4 linked regions of the Saccharomyces cerevisiae S288C genome follow. The gene in region 4 interacts genetically with the main gene of each other region. Each region holds a gene or a part of one and is shown on either strand. Other genes may lie near its edges. The genes, in order: PEX18, HFM1, MDL1 and SPO22.

The links.
Region 1: mutations in SPO22 (region 4) and PEX18 together harm fitness more than expected from each alone (negative genetic interaction), as found in Saccharomyces cerevisiae (2 studies listed by BioGRID).
Region 2: of SPO22 (region 4) and HFM1, changing one suppresses a phenotype caused by changing the other (phenotypic suppression), as found in Saccharomyces cerevisiae (one study listed by BioGRID).
Region 3: mutations in SPO22 (region 4) and MDL1 together harm fitness more than expected from each alone (negative genetic interaction), as found in Saccharomyces cerevisiae (2 studies listed by BioGRID).

The regions. Positions count from the first base shown.
Region 1 is NC_001140.6:418,602-422,372, reverse strand, and holds PEX18 (Pex18p), read left to right. Parts: upstream 1-2,300; coding exon 2,301-3,152; downstream 3,153-3,771. Other genes in the region: YAP1801 (Yap1801p), read left to right, coding at 87-2,000; TDA11 (Tda11p), read right to left, coding at 3,310-3,771. UniProt on the Saccharomyces cerevisiae protein: Involved in peroxisome biogenesis and the import of peroxisomal matrix proteins that contain the peroxisomal targeting sequence PTS2. Required for peroxisomal targeting of PEX7 and growth on oleate.
Region 2 is NC_001139.9:27,186-33,865, reverse strand, and holds HFM1 (DNA helicase), read left to right. Parts: upstream 1-2,229; coding exon 2,230-2,287; intron 2,288-2,439; coding exon 2,440-5,945; downstream 5,946-6,680. Other genes in the region: ZIP2 (Zip2p), read right to left, coding at 1-768; RMR1 (Rmr1p), read right to left, coding at 1,231-1,956; RTG2 (Rtg2p), read left to right, coding at 6,382-6,680. UniProt on the Saccharomyces cerevisiae protein: DNA-dependent ATPase and 3'-5' DNA helicase. Required in the control of double strand break transition and crossover during meiosis. ATPase is slightly better stimulated by single-stranded (ss) than double-stranded (ds)DNA.
Region 3 is NC_001144.5:526,350-531,296, reverse strand, and holds MDL1 (ATP-binding cassette permease MDL1), read right to left. Parts: upstream 2,998-4,947; coding exon 910-2,997; downstream 1-909. Other genes in the region: ATG26 (sterol 3-beta-glucosyltransferase), read left to right, coding at 1-500; SKG3 (Skg3p), read right to left, coding at 3,352-4,947. UniProt on the Saccharomyces cerevisiae protein: Mediates export of peptides with molecular masses of 2100 to 600 daltons generated upon proteolysis of mitochondrial inner membrane proteins.
Region 4 is NC_001141.2:221,773-227,733, forward strand, and holds SPO22 (Spo22p), read right to left. Parts: upstream 4,183-5,961; coding exon 4,128-4,182; intron 4,038-4,127; coding exon 1,165-4,037; downstream 1-1,164. Other genes in the region: phosphoglycerate dehydrogenase SER33, read right to left, coding at 1-718; HOP1 (Hop1p), read left to right, coding at 4,830-5,961. UniProt on the Saccharomyces cerevisiae protein: Involved in chromosome segregation during sporulation.

The sequences.
Region 1 (3,771 bases), on a different chromosome or scaffold from region 4:
GGGAGGAAGGACAAAACCTGTCTCGTAAATATAAAGGGACTGTTCGATATCGCAGATACTAGAGTATAAATTTCGATTGAGGCGAGATGACAACATATTTCAAGTTGGTAAAAGGTGCTACCAAGATCAAGTCAGCCCCGCCCAAACAGAAGTATCTGGATCCGATACTGTTGGGGACCAGCAATGAAGAGGATTTCTATGAGATCGTGAAGGGTTTGGATTCCCGAATTAATGACACGGCGTGGACTATTGTGTATAAATCGCTGTTGGTGGTTCATTTGATGATAAGGGAGGGTTCCAAAGATGTTGCATTGCGGTACTACTCTAGGAACCTGGAGTTTTTTGACATTGAAAACATACGTGGCTCCAATGGCAGTGCGTCTGGAGACATGAGGGCACTTGATAGATACGATAATTATCTGAAGGTGAGATGCAGGGAGTTTGGTAAAATCAAAAAGGACTATGTGAGAGACGGCTATCGAACACTGAAGCTGAACAGTGGCAATTACGGAAGCTCCAGAAACAAGCAACACTCTATCAATATAGCACTAGATCATGTGGAGTCCCTAGAGGTACAAATACAAGCCCTGATTAAAAACAAGTATACACAATATGATTTGAGTAACGAATTGATCATATTTGGTTTCAAGCTGCTTATTCAAGACCTGCTAGCGCTATATAATGCTCTCAACGAAGGTATCATAACTCTGCTGGAGTCTTTTTTCGAACTATCTCATCATAATGCAGAGAGAACTCTAGACCTGTACAAGACGTTTGTTGATTTGACCGAGCACGTTGTCAGGTACTTGAAGAGCGGGAAGACTGCGGGCTTGAAAATACCCGTCATCAAGCATATCACTACCAAACTGGTCAGATCGCTAGAAGAACATCTGATAGAGGATGATAAGACGCACAACACTTTTGTGCCCGTTGACAGTTCTCAAGGAAGTGCTGGGGCCGTAGTAGCCAAATCTACTGCACAGGAAAGGTTGGAGCAAATCCGGGAACAAAAAAGGATACTAGAGGCACAATTGAAAAACGAACAAGTAGCGATTTCCCCTGCTCTAACTACTGTCACGGCGGCTCAATCTTACAACCCGTTTGGAACAGACTCTTCTATGCATACTAACATTCCAATGGCTGTGGCTAATCAAACGCAACAGATCGCAAATAACCCATTTGTATCTCAAACTCAGCCACAGGTGATGAATACACCAACCGCTCATACAGAGCCCGCAAATTTAAACGTTCCTGAATATGCAGCGGTCCAACACACAGTGAACTTCAACCCTGTACAAGATGCTGGCGTAAGTGCCCAACAAACGGGGTACTATTCGATTAACAACCATTTAACACCCACATTTACAGGTGCAGGGTTTGGAGGATACTCCGTTTCACAGGATACAACTGCCGCTTCTAATCAACAAGTCTCTCATTCACAAACTGGTTCTAACAACCCGTTCGCATTGCACAACGCCGCGACGATCGCAACAGGGAATCCTGCACACGAAAATGTCTTAAATAACCCATTTTCACGACCAAACTTTGATGAACAAAATACCAATATGCCGCTACAACAACAGATAATAAGTAACCCTTTTCAAAACCAAACGTACAATCAACAACAATTTCAACAACAAAAAATGCCTTTGAGCTCGATCAATAGCGTTATGACAACCCCTACTAGCATGCAGGGATCGATGAATATTCCTCAGCGTTTTGATAAAATGGAATTTCAGGCTCACTACACTCAGAATCATCTCCAACAACAGCAACAACAGCAACAGCAACAACAGCAACAGCAACAACAGCAACCACAACAGGGTTATTATGTGCCTGCAACTGCAGGAGCCAACCCTGTTACAAATATAACTGGGACAGTTCAACCTCAAAATTTCCCTTTCTATCCACAACAGCAACCACAACCGGAACAGTCTCAAACACAGCAACCAGTTTTAGGAAACCAATATGCTAACAACCTCAATTTAATTGATATGTAATATCTAGTATAATCAGGTATGTAAGGGAGTACTCAAGTGCATCTTTGGATAGCTATATATAGTTGTAAGGAAGAGCTATGTAATTTTTGCCATTTTGTACATATTTTGCATTTGTCCTATAGTATGTAATACTTACATCTTACTGTCTTCAATTCCTCCCGCCAACAAAAGATTTCGATAGCGCCGCACCATGGAGTTTATATTGTTATTTCCGAGACGACCTATATAAGGGAAAAGACGAAAACTGGGTATTTGATACTTGTCTAAACTTCAATGGACAAATGATATAAAATACAAACAATGAATAGTAACCGATGCCAAACGAATGAGGTGAATAAATTTATTAGTAGTACAGAAAAGGGGCCTTTTACGGGCAGGGACAATACGCTCTCTTTTAACAAAATCGGGAGCAGACTGAATTCACCACCGATTCTGAAGGATAAAATTGAGCTGAAATTTCTACAACACTCAGAAGATTTGAATCAATCACGGTCCTACGTAAATATTCGTCCTAGAACCTTAGAGGATCAAAGTTACAAATTTGAAGCGCCAAATCTAAATGACAATGAAACTTCTTGGGCCAAGGATTTTAGATATAACTTCCCTAAGAATGTTGAACCGCCCATCGAAAATCAAATCGCGAATCTTAATATAAACAACGGGCTACGGACATCTCAGACAGATTTTCCCTTAGGCTTTTATTCACAGAAAAACTTTAACATTGCTTCCTTCCCTGTGGTTGACCATCAGATATTCAAGACAACAGGTTTAGAACATCCTATCAACAGCCACATTGATTCTTTAATTAATGCTGAATTTTCGGAACTGGAAGCCAGTAGTTTGGAAGAAGATGTCCATACAGAAGAGGAAAATTCAGGTACGAGTCTGGAAGATGAAGAAACTGCCATGAAAGGTTTGGCTTCCGATATAATTGAGTTTTGCGATAATAATAGTGCCAATAAAGATGTAAAAGAAAGACTAAACAGTTCAAAGTTTATGGGGCTGATGGGCAGCATTAGTGATGGTTCTATAGTTTTAAAGAAGGATAACGGTACAGAAAGAAACCTTCAAAAACACGTAGGTTTTTGTTTTCAGAATTCAGGAAACTGGGCTGGTCTTGAGTTCCATGATGTTGAAGACAGAATTGCTTAACGGGCCTTGAAATTTCTTTAATTTAAACCATGAATTTCAGATATATAACACTTTTTAACCACTTTCAAGAGAAAACAGTATTAAATTACATACTGCGTTCACAGCTATACGTAAAAAGAGTGACAAGTGAAGAATAAACGTCATTTTGAAAAAGGAATTAGAAGTCTGTCATTTCAACTGAGTTTTTGACGGAGGAATTATCATTATCGGGTTCTCCAATAAAACTTAGCTTGTTACTACTTCTTTTACTTTTTTTTTCTCGTGTTCGATGTCCACTTTCATCTGTGAGACTATTATTCCCAGCATTGTCTTTCTGGAACTTAGTTGTCGTTTTAAATTTCCTCATGTTTAAACTAGAATCGTCGCCACTATCTTCTGCTTGCCCCCGGTTCGTAATTTTATGTGTACTTTTTTTCTGTTCATGCTGTCTATCGCTTTTATATACAGGATCACATCTGTTATCAGTAATAACATCATTATCGTTTTCTTCTTCTATACCGAGTAATCCGGCCTTGACATCGCTAACAAAGCTCCAAAGCGACCTGGAGACTGATCCTTGCGAAGGAGATTTTTGGCGAGCTCCAGGTGCTTCATTATCGTACTGTTGCGCGGACGACTC
Region 2 (6,680 bases), on a different chromosome or scaffold from region 4:
ATCATGTTCTGGGACTTTCACAACCCAGCTTTGCGAACTGGTCTTGAAATTGTACTTACTGCACCTACTCTTATATTTGAAAGATTTCTCAGGTGAGATCCGTTGTAAACGGTATCTATTGTAGGTTTGCTCAAAAATTTGGGGCTTCCATTCTGACAAAGGTTTATCAGAAAATCCAACGCAGAAGTTCAACTTTTCCTCCGTTAGTGTGCTGCATTGCACTTCCAGTACAGAGGACATTTGTCTTAAACTCGGATATGGTACCTTTTTCCTGTATTGACTTCTTCTGAGAAGTGGGATGTTGAACCACTCTAACCTCGTGTTATCGTCTGCCAAACCGTGTTCCGTCATTTTTTGGTGAAGAGGAGCATTTAATTGAACTGAAAGACTTTTCATCCAGCTAAAAAATAACATGTCCTGTTTCCCGACTTTTAACTTTTCCTTGAATAACTCATACTGTAGTTCTTCTTTGTTGTCATTCTCAATGTTAGTCACATTCCATGTTTTGCCAACGGCTACATCTATTTTTTGTCTTCCAGAGGTGATGTGAATTACCTCCAAAAAATACTCTTCACCATTGATCGTGCCGCAGTTTTCATACCCTCCGATTTTCAGTGGTTTAAGTTGCAAATTTCTTAGCTCTTTCAAATATTTTTGTGCTCGTCTTCCCAGTTTGATGTTTTCTTTTAAGTTTCCTGACAGAACAGAATAGCCGCCCACATTTTGGTTACATTTAGATAACTTTACTTCCCAACGTTCAATAATCATAGTATTTTTGTAATATGATCTATTTCTCTAAATTGATTCAATTACTCGAGCTCGTTAACAATGGTGTGGCACTATTGAGTGATTTTCTTCTCCTGAAACATATTTTATGCTTGTATTTTACATATCCTAACAGAAAATACTTTCAGCAATTCTTCCGAAAGTAAAACTTGAAAAAAATTGAAGAAAATGACGAAAAAACAATACAAAACAATAATACAATTCGCTACAAAAAAGGGGGAAGGGCTATCAGAAATCGAATATGGACCTTTGCATCATCCAAAATTAATGAATACTTAACTGCTGACTATACAAACGAAAAAGAAGGCGACCTTAAATATTACACAGAGCCAATAATTTATTCGCGGGAGAAGATTCTCAAAAGGAATCCGTGACTGGGAAATCAGAAACTCACCGTTGGACATCAGGATTTCCCACGATCAGTGCTGATTAAACATGGCTACTTTAGTCTTCAGAATCCTCACCTACGTCATCATCTATGTCCATTACAATGACTTCTGAAGTATTCTGGTGTGTATATTGGTCATTGTCATCCACAATTAAGGGATGCGTTTCATCGTTAGAAAATGGCTTTATGTTTTTCAACGTAGCTGAGCTTTCAGTTAATTCAACCAAGGCGTTGTACCGAGAGACAAATCTTGGCCTTGTACTTAATTCAATAGCCAAGTGCGTCGGTATATCAGTTTCAAAATTAGACTCCGATCTTTCCTTCAGGATTTTAAATATAGTATAAACATCGCTGAATGAAATATGGTTGTTGTAGACATTATCTTCGAACAAGGTCAAATCGAGGCTTTTCAGTTGTAAAACCAACTCCTTCGTAGCAAAAGCCAACCTGCCAAAACGATTTCCCATAAATTTACGAATGGATTCCATGAATTCCCCCATGGGTCGCTGATAAAGAGCAGCGTTTTCACATATTATGGGGTTGTTACTTTCGTTCTTATCATCCGACGTGAACAACAGAAATGTAGTATCTTTATATTCCACGGTGACTTTGGGCAATTCGCTTTTCATTAAAGTCTCTGCCACGTTGCGTATACGGGCGTCCGATGGTTGTTCCTCCACGAGTTCATCATCATACTCCAAAAGGTCTTCTTCATCGCCCTCATCCAATTGAACCCCGACGTCATCCACCTCCACTGTTTTATGCGCTTCTTCTTCACTCATCTTTGATTCCATTGATACCAACAAAAACAATCTTTAACTACGTATCTTTTCCTTTACGTATATATAATTAATCATATATACTTCCCTTTTTTATGCCTTGTTGTAGTTTTAACATATCATGTACCACGAATGGATGCAGGCTCGGCGGGTATTTAGACTTTGCCCCGGATTATAAACAAAACGGGACTATTAGTATCATCTATCAAGAAATCCTTTCATTGAAAATGATTGATACCTCAAGGTGGATTTGACAACTTAAGAGGCGTCGTAAGGATGAAAACAAAGTTTGATCGCCTCGGTACAGGAAAAAGAAGTAGACCCTCTCCAAATAGTAGTAACGAAGCTTAGCAACACCCTTATCAGTTTACACCATATCGGACAACAACAGTATTTTGACTAACATTGTTACCTCTTTCTTTTATTATCTAGCGGAAATGCAACCAAAAGTGGTTTTTCTGGACTAGAATTTCAGAGGACTTATAGATATTGACTTTAACGACCAGTCTGCTACATTTAAAAGAAATAAGAAAAATAGCCGCCAACCAAGTTTTAAAGTAGGTTTGTCTTATAACAGTTTACTGGATGATTGTGATGATGAAAATGAAACAGAGGAAATATTTGAGGGCCGTGGTCTGCAATTCTTCGACAAAGACGATAATTTTTCAATAACAGCAGATGATACACAAGTAACTAGTAAATTATTTGATCACGATTTAGAGCAGACACCTGATGAAGAGGCGAAGAAACCTAAGAAGGTCACGATAAGGAAATCAGCGAAGAAATGTTTGAGCACGACCATATTACCAGATTCATTCAGAGGGGTTTTTAAATTTACAGAATTTAATAAAATGCAATCAGAGGCTTTTCCTAGTATTTATGAGAGTAACGAGAACTGCATAATTTCTTCACCAACCGGATCAGGCAAGACTGTATTATTTGAATTGGCAATATTACGTCTTATAAAGGAAACAAATAGTGATACCAATAACACCAAAATTATATACATCGCGCCAACCAAATCTCTATGTTACGAGATGTACAAGAACTGGTTTCCTTCCTTTGTGAATCTTTCTGTTGGTATGCTTACTAGTGATACCTCTTTTCTGGAAACTGAAAAGGCTAAAAAATGTAACATAATAATTACGACACCAGAAAAATGGGATTTGTTAACAAGAAGATGGTCCGATTACAGCCGATTATTCGAATTGGTCAAACTTGTCCTAGTTGATGAGATTCATACCATAAAGGAGAAAAGAGGAGCATCTTTGGAAGTAATTCTGACAAGGATGAATACAATGTGTCAAAACATTCGGTTTGTTGCTTTAAGTGCAACAGTTCCAAATATAGAAGACCTAGCATTGTGGCTCAAAACTAACAACGAGCTTCCTGCAAATATTCTTTCTTTTGACGAATCGTACAGGCAAGTTCAGTTAACGAAGTTTGTTTATGGGTACTCCTTCAATTGCAAAAATGACTTCCAAAAAGATGCTATATATAATTCCAAATTGATTGAAATAATTGAAAAGCATGCCGATAATCGTCCCGTACTAATATTTTGTCCGACTAGGGCTTCAACTATATCAACAGCAAAATTTTTATTAAATAATCATATTTTTTCAAAAAGTAAGAAAAGATGTAATCATAATCCCTCCGATAAAATATTAAATGAATGTATGCAACAAGGTATCGCTTTCCATCATGCTGGAATTTCTTTAGAAGACCGTACTGCCGTTGAGAAAGAATTTCTTGCAGGTTCAATTAATATATTGTGTTCAACTTCAACGTTAGCTGTTGGTGTGAACCTTCCCGCATATTTGGTCATTATCAAAGGCACCAAAAGTTGGAACTCTTCTGAAATCCAAGAGTATTCAGACCTAGATGTACTGCAAATGATTGGGCGGGCAGGAAGACCTCAATTTGAAACTCACGGGTGCGCAGTAATCATGACAGACTCTAAAATGAAGCAAACATATGAAAACTTAATTCATGGAACTGACGTTTTGGAAAGTTCATTACATTTGAATTTGATCGAGCATTTAGCAGCAGAAACCTCTTTGGAAACTGTATATTCAATTGAAACTGCAGTAAATTGGCTACGAAACACATTCTTTTACGTTAGATTTGGGAAGAATCCAGCTGCATATCAAGAGGTGAACAGATACGTTAGTTTTCATTCCGTTGAAGACTCTCAGATAAATCAATTCTGTCAGTATTTGCTTGACACCTTAGTAAAAGTGAAAATAATCGATATCAGCAATGGGGAGTACAAATCTACAGCGTACGGAAATGCAATGACGCGACATTATATATCCTTTGAGTCGATGAAACAATTCATTAACGCAAAAAAATTTCTATCATTACAAGGGATACTAAATTTACTGGCCACTTCTGAAGAGTTTTCAGTTATGAGGGTGAGGCACAATGAAAAAAAATTGTTCAAAGAAATCAATTTATCGCCACTTTTGAAATATCCATTTTTAACCGAGAAGAAACAGAGCCAAATAATTGACAGGGTTAGTCAAAAGGTTTCTCTTTTGATTCAATATGAGTTAGGTGGGTTAGAATTTCCATCATACGAAGGCGCTTCTAAACTACATCAAACTCTTGTTCAGGATAAATTCCTCGTTTTTAGACATTGTTTTAGATTACTAAAATGCATGGTAGACACATTTATTGAAAAAAGTGATGGAACATCACTGAAAAATACTTTGTTCTTACTGCGAAGCCTGAATGGTCACTGCTGGGAAAACACGCCAATGGTTCTTAGGCAATTGAAAACAATTGGACTAGTTTCAGTAAGAAGGCTAATACGACATGGAATTACCAATCTAGAAGAAATGGGGCATTTGTCAGATACTCAGATTGAATACTATCTTAACCTCAAGATTGGAAACGGCATAAAAATTAAAAACGACATTTCTTTGTTGCCTTGTCTGAATATTAGAACAAAACTAGAAAATTGCAAAATAGAAAATGAAGAGTTGTGGTTGACATTTAAAGTTGAGATTAGTGCAACATTCAAGTCTAGCATTTGGCATGGTCAGCACCTCTCATTAGATATCGAAACCGAGAAAAGCTCAGGAGAGTTAATCGACTTTAGAAGATTGCAAGTTAACAAACTACAGTCACCAAGGGGCTTTAGAATTTCAGCAAAAATATCACCAAAACTAGAAAAAATAGAATTCTCAATTCATTGCCAAGAAATCGCCGGACTCGGCAAAACAATCGTATATTCCACTGATCATTTGGCATCACAGTTCTCTGCGAAGACACCAAATATAAGGAAAGATCTAAATAGTTTAGAAAAATGCCTCTTCTATGAAAGCAGTAGTGACGGAGAAGTGGGGAAAACGTCTAGGGTTTCCCATAAAGATGGATTAGAAGAATCGCTATCCTCAGATGATAGTATACTAGATTATTTGAATGAAAGGAAGAAATCATCAAAGGCGGTTGAATCTGCAGCAGTTATTCACCCGGAGGCACACTCTTCTTCACATTTTAGTAATGGCCGCCAAGTAAGATCTAATGGCAATTACGAGTGTTTTCATAGCTGCAAAGACAAAACGCAATGCAGACATTTATGTTGTAAAGAGGGTATTCCAGTAAAGTATATAAAAGAAAAAGGACCCTCCTCAATCAAGCCAGTATCAAAACCTGATCAAATACGCCAGCCACTGCTTGCAAAAAATATCAACACAACCCCTCACCTGGAAAAAAGACTGAATAGTAAACCAAAGCAGTGGCAAGAAGAAAATACAGATATTGCGACAGTTCATACACTTCCTTCAAAAATTTATAATCTATCGCAACAGATGTCGTCTATGGAAGCGGGTGAACAAGTCCTAAAATCAGGCCCCGAAAACTGCCCTGAAATAATTCCTATTGATCTTGAATCATCCGATAGTTATTCTAGTAATACAGCGGCGAGCTCAATAAGTGATCCGAATGGTGATCTGGATTTCTTGGGTTCCGATATAGAGTTTGAATGAGCGGCATGGCCGGGAACAATAGACATTACTGATATTCATTACCCCAATCCTTTCTGTTATTTGTATTGCTTCCCAACAGAAGTTAGCATGTGTGAGAGTTTACTTATAATGCTTTGTTTTTAAAATGCAGCCAGTGGTGAAACAATTGGAACCTTTACTATTTATTAGGGAACAAGATGACATTGTCAATTGATATATTACTATTGTTACATATCGTGCTATTTATCATTTCAATTATTAGTCACATGACCGCGATAAGCGATCCGGGTCAGAATGCCGAGATAGGATAACTTTGCCGGCGGAGTTCCTAGATCAATTGAAAGAATCGAAGTGAGATTAGTAATTCATTCATATGTACCTTTTAAAAAAGAAACTCACTCTTGGAAGTGTCCTTTACTAAGGATTGTTTTGAACGAAAAGTGTAGGCGTGCCACAAATGTCAACACTTAGCGATAGTGATACCGAGACTGAGGTCGTGTCGAGAAACTTGTGTGGAATCGTCGACATAGGTTCTAATGGTATTCGTTTTAGTATATCTTCCAAGGCTGCACATCATGCAAGAATTATGCCTTGTGTTTTTAAAGATAGGGTTGGTCTTTCTCTATACGAAGTTCAATATAATACACATACGAACGCAAAATGCCCTATTCCCAGAGATATTATAAAAGAGGTTTGTTCTGCCATGAAGAGATTCAAATTAATTTGCGATGATTTTGGTGTACCTGAAACTAGTGT
Region 3 (4,947 bases), on a different chromosome or scaffold from region 4:
GCGATAAGGCGGCAAAGAAGACAGAGGTAGATCTTCCAAGAAACATTTTAAATATCGGAAACGTTCCCCATGATTGGTTGTTCCCACAAGTCGATGCTGCCGTTCACCATGGTGGTTCTGGAACTACTGGAGCTTCATTACGTGCTGGTTTACCTACTGTTATAAAACCTTTCTTTGGTGATCAGTTCTTTTATGCAGGTAGAGTAGAAGACATTGGAGTTGGTATTGCTTTAAAGAAACTTAACGCTCAAACATTAGCAGATGCTTTAAAAGTAGCTACGACGAACAAAATAATGAAGGATAGAGCTGGATTAATAAAGAAGAAAATTTCCAAAGAAGATGGGATTAAAACTGCAATAAGTGCAATTTACAACGAACTTGAGTATGCAAGAAGCGTTACTTTATCAAGAGTGAAAACTCCGCGCAAGAAAGAGGAAAATGTAGATGCAACCAAACTGACACCTGCTGAAACAACGGATGAAGGGTGGACGATGATTTAAACCGAGTATCACTCTCACTTTTATAAAAAAGCGTAACATCTAATCATTAATAGTAATAAATAATTAATTTTTTTTTTGTAAGTTTCAGTCATATTTGTACTCAGGAAAGATATGAAAACGATAATGTTGATAATAAGAATAATAGTAACAATAATAAAAAAGTAAAAAAATAAAGCTTAATTTGAGTTTCCTAAACGTACCGTATGTTGTGCATCTAATATTAATTTAATGTGTATAAAGGCGTACAAGGAGCTTTAAAAAAAAACTGTTTGTGTAAATTACATTGGGCATCATTTAAATTATAGAATACACAATTTCATATTCAGCAAACATAATGCGATAATTAATTGTCTTCCAACACATACCATAACTGTGGCATAGAAAAGTGATTCCATACTGCGGCAACTTCTTATACTTCCCGGGCAACACTATTGTCCAAATCTATCACTCCCCCTTTTCCTTCCTCGTCCTGCTGTTCGGCAAGCAGCGCATTTAGTTCACTATTAGGAATGGCGATTAGATCTCGGAATGAACCGGTTTCAACCACTGAGCCATGTTTTCCTAACACAATCACCCTAGTACTGTGTTTGATCGTCGAAAGCCTATGTGCAATTGATATAGTAGTGAACCCCCTTTCCACACGTCTCTGAAGATTTTTGGCAACTATTTCTTCACTTTGAGAGTCAAGGGCACTGGTTGCTTCATCTAAAATAAGGACGGCAGGATCTAGTAAAAACGCTCTAGCTAATGCAATTCTTTGCTTTTGACCACCGGACAATTGCGCGCCTCTAGCACCAACCATAGTCTGCAATCCATCTGGAAAATTGGCCAAAAATTTTGTGCAATTAGCTTTTCCAATAGCACGTCTAATACGATCATCCTGCTCCGCAATTTCAGGCGGAATGCAGTAGAGGATATTGTCCAGAATAGTCCCATTGAAAAGTAGTGGTTCTTGTTGCACGTATCCTATTAGTCTTCGATACTTCCTCAAGTTGAAATTTCTGATGTCTTCATCACCAAATTCGATCGATCCTGAGTTCACATCGTAGTACCTGAGCAACAAAGACGCAATTGTTGATTTGCCGCTTCCTGATGGACCGACAGCGCAAACGTGTTCACCAGGCTTGATAGTAATATTCAAATCCTTGAAAATCTGGTGTTTGGGCCGAGTGGGATAAGTGAATGACACGTTTTTGAAAACGATGGGTTTTTGGGCTAATGACACAGGATCCTTTCCAATAGTCGGACGAATCAATGGCTTACGGTCATTTAATTCAAAAACCCTGGCAGCCGCACCAGCACCTTTCATAAGTTCTGAATAGAAGCTCGATAAACCAAATAATGAACTTCCGGTATACACGGCATACATCATGAAACTAGATAATTCACCGACAGTCATTGAACCACTTTGAATCATGCTTGTTCCAACCAATAATAACGACAGCATTGCAGTGTTGCCAACTAGCCCAGTACTTCCGAAGAATAAACCGGAAGTAACCGCTTCCTTCAGACCAATATGAAATACATTTCTAACCTCTTTTGCATAGCGGCGAACCTCGTTTTTTTCACCACCATATGCTTGAATTGTCCTAGTAGCATTTAATTGCTCTTCTGCCACTTTTGTTAACCCACCTACTGAGGTTTGTAACTGTCTTGATAGGTTTCGTATTTTCCTACCATATATCAGTGCCATAGCACCTAAAGGAGGGGCTAAAATCATCATTACGCAAGTCAATTTCCACGAGAGGAAGCTCATCATGCCAAAACCGACAAACCCTTGAATAATTGCCCTTGTTCCATCAGAGACGTTTTGTGTGACCGATTTGGCCACTATAGATGCATCAGATGATAATCTTGAGATCAAATCACCGACACGATTAGTATCTAAAAATGTGGCATCTTGATCTAATGCAGCTTTCATTGTTCTCGTTCTTAATCTTGCGACCAGTCTCTCACCGGTGACCTTTAAAATGATGATTCTGCTTGCATTAGCAACTGCTCCAATTATAAATACTGCTCCTAATGCTGTGAAAAATTGCTTCTTCGTAAAACCATATAACTTATTGCTTTTTGAGCCCTCTTCATCTTCGCCGTCACTTTCGGAAGCCAAGTCTAATAATTTACCGATAACGGAAGGTACAGCCATACTAACTGAACTTGAAATGAGGATTAAAAGGAGGGCAAGACCAATGTACTTGGATTCCGGTTTAGATAAGACGAATAGCCGTTTAATGTCTTTAAACCCCGAGGATTTTGAATTTGCATTGGACAACTTTAAAGTGGGCTTGGTGGACTTCTTTCCTTGCGCAATGTCTGATTGTAATCGAATCGACCGCAACAAAAAGTGCTTTCTATGTGGAATAATCAAATTAATTTCCGCTTTTTGGTACATGGGAGGTTTGAACAATGACTTGGTTGAATATAGTGCACTTGCTGATGCGAATTGACTTCGCAACAACTTTGGACCTTTACAAAGACGTATCATTCTTACAATCATTGGAGCCCTTCCTCTTCTTTAACTTAGTAAAATTTCAATGATCTGCTTCTCATGTAAGTACCCACGTCTGCTTAGTTGAATCTAGTTGCATGTTGGGCAATACTGAATACGTAACATATATACAAAGCATTTGTGATTCTGAAGTCTCGGCTCGATGCGCCTAAACGAAACGCGACGCCAGTAATATAATACCTGTTAATGAAGATTTGTTTAGCTTAAAAGCAAAGGTAAAGAGATAAATAAGGGTATAGAGGTATATTATAGTCGTATTAAAAAAATAATACATTTATGGGAAGTTATATAAAACTACTGAATTGTAAAAAAAAAAAAAAGAAAAGATGAAATATAAATGAATCAGCTGGAATATGGGTTGGTTGATGTGCTATTGGGAGGCATAAATTGAGAAAATCCACTTTGTGCAGTAAGCGGATTTGTGCGGTTAGTGGTATTTATATGGAGGCTGGGACGGCCATCTGGTACATGGTGCTGTGTTTGCGGTATTGGAGATCTATCATTTATTGGTAACTTATTATTCAAATATCTCATATTTTGAGGCTGTTGTTGCAGTTGCGGCGATGGATGGAATGTATTTTGATTGTTACCACTTCCATAGGTATTGTTTCTGAAGGAAAGTGATTGGTTTTGGCGCTGTTGCGACGAATGAAACCGATGTTGCGAAGATTGGAAAGAATACATTGATGAGTTTCCACCTTGTTGCATAGGCTGGACGGTCAGCGGACCCGTTCTTATCTTACCTAACGGGCGACCAACCGGGTATGGTGCTTGAGGCTGCGAGCTATTGGCTGAAGAATTTCTGTAACCAAATGACGAAGTTTGTGGTCCTTTCACATGAAGTGGTTGAGATTGTTGAGGTTTGTTTATTTGATCACCAGAGAAATCTTCCCTATCCTGATAGTTTCCTCCATTCGAAGTAAGCTGGTTTAAGTTTGTAAATAAAGAAGAATGTGGGATCTTGTCATTTCTGTCACTGGCAGAAAGGGTTTCAGTTACTGTTCGGTTGGTTTGCCCATTGCTATAATTACTGGATGCTGCATCCTGATTATCTGAAAAGTCAAACTCATCCGTAGTGTACCTACTTTCTGTTTCCAACATTTGGTTTTGTTCCATATAATCTGGATCAAATACGTTTTCCTCCCCAAAATCCGGCACACGTTGTTCTTCATTGAGATTGACCGATGAACTGTTATTGATATTCAAGTTCAGGTCCGTAACAAAAGAACTGTTTTCTGCTGTGTCACTTAAAGCTTCTGAAGAAATATTTGCCATTCCCATATTGCTAATCTTTTGAGATAACTCTTCAAACTCTTTCAAAGATCCCAGGTCCTCATTTTTTGAACGTCTACTATCTTCTACCCTCAAAGGCGAAGAAAGGGAAGTATTTATCGTACTTTTCGACTCTCTGACGTTACCTATTTCAAATGTCTTGCTTTCAGCGGATGTACCTACGTATCTCTCATAGGGGCTTCTGTTTTCATTTTTTGACCGATCTTTAACTTCCAATTTTTGAGGTTTAGGGCTTGAATTAGCCTCCGATTTACCAAACGGAGATGTGGAATATTTGTCGTAAAGGGCGGATAATTCGGCTGCATTGGCGAGGTGAATATGTTTGTCTTCTGGTGTCGTAGAGAATTCGTTAGCAGATTTCGCTTCAACGTCTTCCATATTTTCCAAATTTGAATCAGTGATTTTGAGTTTTAATCCTGAACCAAAGCTTCTCTCTGAATTTTCATGGTTGAGCATTCCTGATGTCATTGGGGTGGTAAAAGTATCTTTGAAGTTAGTAGTGACACTGGACTGCGCCGACACAGAGTCATTGATTTTTGAAGAATTATCAGTCACAAATAATTCAGTTTGTTTTACTGAGGTAGCATGTGAGTTTACGGAAGCAGAAGCGGAATTAATATCATCGGTCGATGCTAATGTAGGAGA
Region 4 (5,961 bases):
GTCTGGCAGTACCTAAGGCCATAATTGTCACGATATCATAGTATAGCACATGCAGGCCCATAGCTTCTGCAAGAACTGATAATTGCGAACCAATGTGACCATACCCAATAATACCGAGAGTTTTTCCTCTTACTTCCCAACACCTAGCAGCGACTTTATTCCATGTACCTGTATGCAGTTCAATGGATCTATCACCTAATTGTCTTGCTAAACTAATGATCTCACCAATTACCAATTCTGCTACGGATCTTGAATTGGAGAATGGCGAATTGAAAACAGCAATACCTTTACTAGCGGCATATTTTAGGTCTACTTGATTGGTACCTATGCAAAAACAACCAATACAAACTAGATTCCTGGCATGCTGTAGTATTTTTTCAGTCAATCTAGTTTTGGATCTTATACCGATAGCGTGTACGTCTTTGATTTTTTCAATCAATTCATCCTCAGGTAGAGAAGACTTGTGGAACTCTACTTGGTAACCCTGATCCTTGAAGATTTTGATTGCAGTTGCATTGACATTTTCCAACAGTAGAATATTCATGTCACCAGTAGAAAAAGGTTTTAAAGCCTTTGGTTGCTTTGTAATGCTTACACGACGAGGTAGTGTGTTCATAAATGACTGAGTTGGTGAGGTTGAGACTGCACCAGGAGAGCCAGAAAAGTTCATGGCACGTTGGAATGAATCTTGTAAATTATCGGCAGCTGAATAAGACATGTTAGGGAGGAAATACCCGAAATCAGTGTTTGTTACTTTTTAATGTTACAATAATCTACAGCTAAAACAGACAAAGTATTTTTTAATGTAGTAGCTCGTAACCTTCTTATGTATTAAACCTGGGAGATTCCATTAGTTTTCATAACGGTGACTCGTTTCCAGCGTGAAGAATCTAGCCCACAATTAATCTGAGCGCTGTCCGGCTGACGGCCAAATTCTTCGGTGTAAAGAAAAAAATGTGGCATTTTGTGTATATTTGGCAAGAACAAGAGTGTAATATTATTGATAGTGCACGTGACATTATGAAAAACAATAGCACTTATTAACTATGCTAAAAATTTTGTAGCTACCGATTCTATCACGCTTCCTGGTACGGGTGCAGGCAAAGATTGCTAGGGAATTAAGGGTCAGCCAGTATAAACGACAGTAAATGGAATAAAAAAGGTTTATTTAGCAATACTATTGATATCGATATTTGCCGAACTTGCTAAAGACTCCCATAAAGAGTACAATTGCTCCTGCAAGCCTTCATTAACCATGTTTGCGAACCCCATTGAATGTTTACACCAAACAATTCCATTGCTTTTGTTGTCTTTGATTATGTAATTGACGCCGATATTCCAACAGTAAGTGGCTATAGTTTCTAACTCTGTTTGAAGGACACCATCTGTGTCTTGAAGACTTGATTGATTTATATTTAGGATCTTAAGAACCCTATCCAATATGCGTAGTTCGACCTCATGGTTAAGATTAATTGCATTTTCCAGTAAAATTCGCAGCCAGCTACAGAGTTCCCGTTCTTTCACTTCAGGGCCCATGTTTCTTTTTAATACTGTTTCAAGTATCTCTATGAGAACTCCTTTAGGTAAATCTTCCATATTCGACGAGATATCAATAAGTAGCGCATCCACGCGGCTATCTTGATACAATTCCGTTTTCTTCAATATGTCCAGAATCCTAGTTTGATCAGGCATCATTAAGGCACTTTCCAGATGTATAGTCAACGCCTCCAGGAAACATTCATGTAATGTATTTCTATCTTCCAATGATGACCCATCCTTAAATTCCGAGCTTTTCTTCATAACATTTATGCTATTAACCAACTCTTCTGACTTCTCATAAATATCCCAATCCTTTTGGTGTTGGTCTTGCTTTGCTTTTTCTTTGGCTATTATCAACTGCAAGATTGTGGCTTTGAACCTCCAATATGTGAAATGATACATTTTCGGGAAAGTGAAGTCTTGGACCGGAATAAGGTCAATAAATTGAATGCAATACTGGGGAAACTCGGAGATGGATTCACAGGACTGATCAACTAAGCATTTTACAGCCACATTATAGGAAAAAGAGGCAAACCACTCGATTTCGTTTACAGCCACTGATTGCTGATATATTGCTTCCTTCTCAACGTCTGGTGGTAATTGATTTAGTAACTTTACAGTTTTGAGAAACTCGACAGCCTTCTGTAAAAGTTTCTGTACTGTTGGTAAATAATTTATGAAGGTTTCTAAAGGCTCCTCTTCCGATACTTTGACAATCATCTGTAGGGTATACCTGAGAATGCTCAGTGTCTGAGAACTCGACGTAGATGATATAGTTTGCGAATTGCTTTTAGATTGTAATTTGTCAAATATCATTAAGAGCCCTTGAACAGACAAATCTGTCTTTCGTTTGCATTCTGCTACTGCTAATATAAGAGCGTCTGTACTTTTTTCATCTTCAGACGACTTTATCTTCTGGAGGCACGTAAGCGCTTCCTCTGTTTTATCATCCGCTAGAAAAGACTGCAACATCAAAAGTTGACACAGAGGAGATTGTCTATCTACTTCGTCCATATCCTGATATACTCTAACTGTGTTGGAATAGTCTTCAATTTTGTTATATACGACTTGTAGAGCCCTTTGAATTTTCCCCCGGTCGGAATAATTTTGACTGATAATATCTTTGAGTGCTAATTTGTAAAATCTAATACTAACAACGTATTTTTCCATCTTTTCTAACTTTTTTCCAGTATTCCATAATAAAGTTATTATGCAAGAGATAGCATGTTTGGTGAGGGGTTCTGAAACTATTCTTTCCATCTGTGTGCTAAAATTCTCTAAGCTTTCCGCTATCTCGGAATCATTCATTGTTTTTGATTGTGTTGTAATTAAAAACCTGGAGCAAATGGCTTTTCCTAAGAATTTACTATCATTCTTAGAATTCAGTTTATTGATTAACAAATAATCGAGACACACTATAGAGAATTTGGTGTTCATTTTTGATAAGTCATTGATAGAAGCTATGACAGCTTGAAAATTGGATATTACATCTACTGACATAATCATTCGCATGAGAATTTCCTCTATGGTTTCTGCCGGATTTACGATATTTCTCCGTTTAGTTAAATTGATAGCCAATATAAAAGGGTCCACTTTGTTTGGATATTCATTTTGCAAAAGACTTAAATAGTGATCACATTGTTCAAGTTCAGAAGCTTGTGGGTGTCCTTCAACCAAACAATTTGCCATAAAAATCAAAACTGAATACTTTAAATTACTATAATCAGTATGAGATTTTAAATTTTCCACAGGTAACTCCAAATATTTTTCCACATCCTTCAAAAAAGAAATTATATTTACGTCTACTAACTGAGTTTCAGGATTATTAATTTCTTTCAACATAACTGTGGAATTATAGATCATTCTGCATAATTCGATGAGCAAATCTGCGTCCATATATTTGGAATTATCAGTGATGTTTACTTTTGCAGTGTAAATATTTGCTGTATCCAGGTCATTTTCCGAAAGATATAATTGAAAATTTACCAAGTAAAACTCGAACGTCAGTTTTTTAAACTCAGTTTTCTCTTCATTGGAGAAACTTTCCACATTCTCATTGATTATCTGTAAGTATTTCTCTGAATGCTGCTGTGTATTAGTTATTAAATCGTCAAAACGATACTCACTAGCGCTTTTGAAAGAACTGATATAACATTTGAAGTTCCGTAGGAGGTTGGTGTTTGTCCGAAACAAAGCCTCATGGATGGAGAGAAGCTTGGTTGCGAAAATCTTACATTTGCAAAAGACTTCATTAAAATATTTGTCTGAAGCTTTTTCAGCTTTCATAGCAATAGTCAACGAATTCCATAGACTTGATGCTGCATTTTCCAATTTCAGGATAAGTTCTTCGTCTAATATAACTGTAGTGGTTCTGAATGATCTATCATATTTTTCTGCAATGGGATACAATGCGCTTATTTTATTATCTACTGTAATCAAATCGTTTTTCTCTAAATTCTTAGCCGCATAAACTTGCGATGTTATCCAAGTTGCAGTTTCTTTATATTATTAAAATAATAAAGCTGTTAGTTGCTATTGCTCGTCCAGATAAAAGTTAATAAGGGTATGTTTTGCATTTTGTTATATACCGCATAACTCGACCAAAGTTTTTCTAAAAGTGGAGTTAACGTTGTGGTCTGACATTGAAACTTGTTGATCACTTTAGAACATAGCCTTTTACTAATATTACTAGAAGTGTCATTATTCATGGAACACTCACTAAAAAGCTTCGCTCTTTTCTCTTTTTATTTATTTGCAATTAGCCGCCGAAGTTTGTATTCCGTACGAAAATGAAAATGAACCAGGTAACAAATCTGGTGAAATCACCATTAAACATATAAAAAACAGGATGAATTAGTGTGAAAATTATATAAAAGCCGCTGGTCCAAGAAGACGTGATTTACAAGACATATACAGGACCCAAAGAAATGGATTTCACTCATGATTATTTCCATTGAAAATCAGATGATTGGCCTTTCATTTTCTTCTTGAACCAACTGAATTTTGAATGATTGCCCCCCTCAATTTAAAGCGCCAGGTTATCAAAACTTTCAACACACGCTAGTCTGTTGAAAGTAAAGGGAAGATCTACGTGTGAAGTGATATATGTTTTTAACCTGGGCGGCTAAATTGTACTTTATATATAGTTGAAACAACAGAGAAAGGGCAGGATAAAGAAAGAAATTGACTGCAGTTTCCTATGATCATATTTCATTTTTGTAATTAACAATATAATATAATACACTTATAAACGGTTTAAAAACAGCTTTATCTCAGAAAAGTCAGGAATTATGTCTAATAAACAACTAGTAAAGCCAAAAACAGAGACAAAGACAGAAATAACTACTGAACAGTCTCAAAAACTGCTCCAAACAATGCTCACAATGTCTTTTGGTTGTTTAGCCTTTCTCAGGGGGTTGTTCCCTGATGATATATTTGTTGACCAACGGTTTGTACCGGAGAAAGTTGAAAAAAACTACAATAAGCAAAACACGTCTCAAAATAACTCTATCAAAATCAAGACATTAATTAGGGGCAAATCGGCTCAAGCAGATTTATTACTGGATTGGTTGGAGAAGGGAGTTTTCAAATCCATTCGTTTAAAGTGTTTAAAAGCCCTATCATTAGGTATATTTCTAGAGGATCCCACCGATCTCCTAGAAAATTACATTTTTAGTTTTGATTATGACGAAGAGAATAATGTCAATATTAATGTAAACTTGAGTGGCAATAAAAAAGGGAGCAAAAATGCCGACCCAGAGAACGAGACAATTTCTTTACTAGATTCGAGAAGGATGGTTCAACAGTTAATGAGACGATTTATCATAATTACCCAATCCCTGGAACCTTTACCCCAAAAAAAGTTCCTCACTATGAGGTTGATGTTTAATGATAACGTCGATGAAGATTATCAGCCGGAGTTGTTCAAAGACGCGACTTTTGACAAAAGAGCAACTTTAAAGGTCCCCACAAATTTAGACAACGATGCTATTGACGTCGGTACTCTGAACACGAAGCATCATAAAGTTGCTCTTTCTGTTTTGTCGGCGGCAACATCCAGTATGGAAAAAGCTGGGAACACGAACTTTATTAGAGTAGACCCCTTTGATTTAATTTTGCAACAACAAGAAGAAAATAAACTTGAAGAATCTGTTCCTACAAAACCCCAGAATTTTGTCACAAGCCAAACAACCAATGTGCTTGGAAATCTTTTAAATTCTTCGCAAGCAAGTATACAACCAACTCAATTTGTTTCAAATAACCCAGTCACGGGCATTTGTAGTTGCGAATGTGGATTGGAAGTTCCCAAAGCAGCCACCGTGTTAAAGACTTGTAAAAGTTGCCGTAAAACACTACACGGCATCTGTTATGGCAATTTTCTACATTCGTCAATTGAGAAATGCTTTACTTGCATTTTTGGAC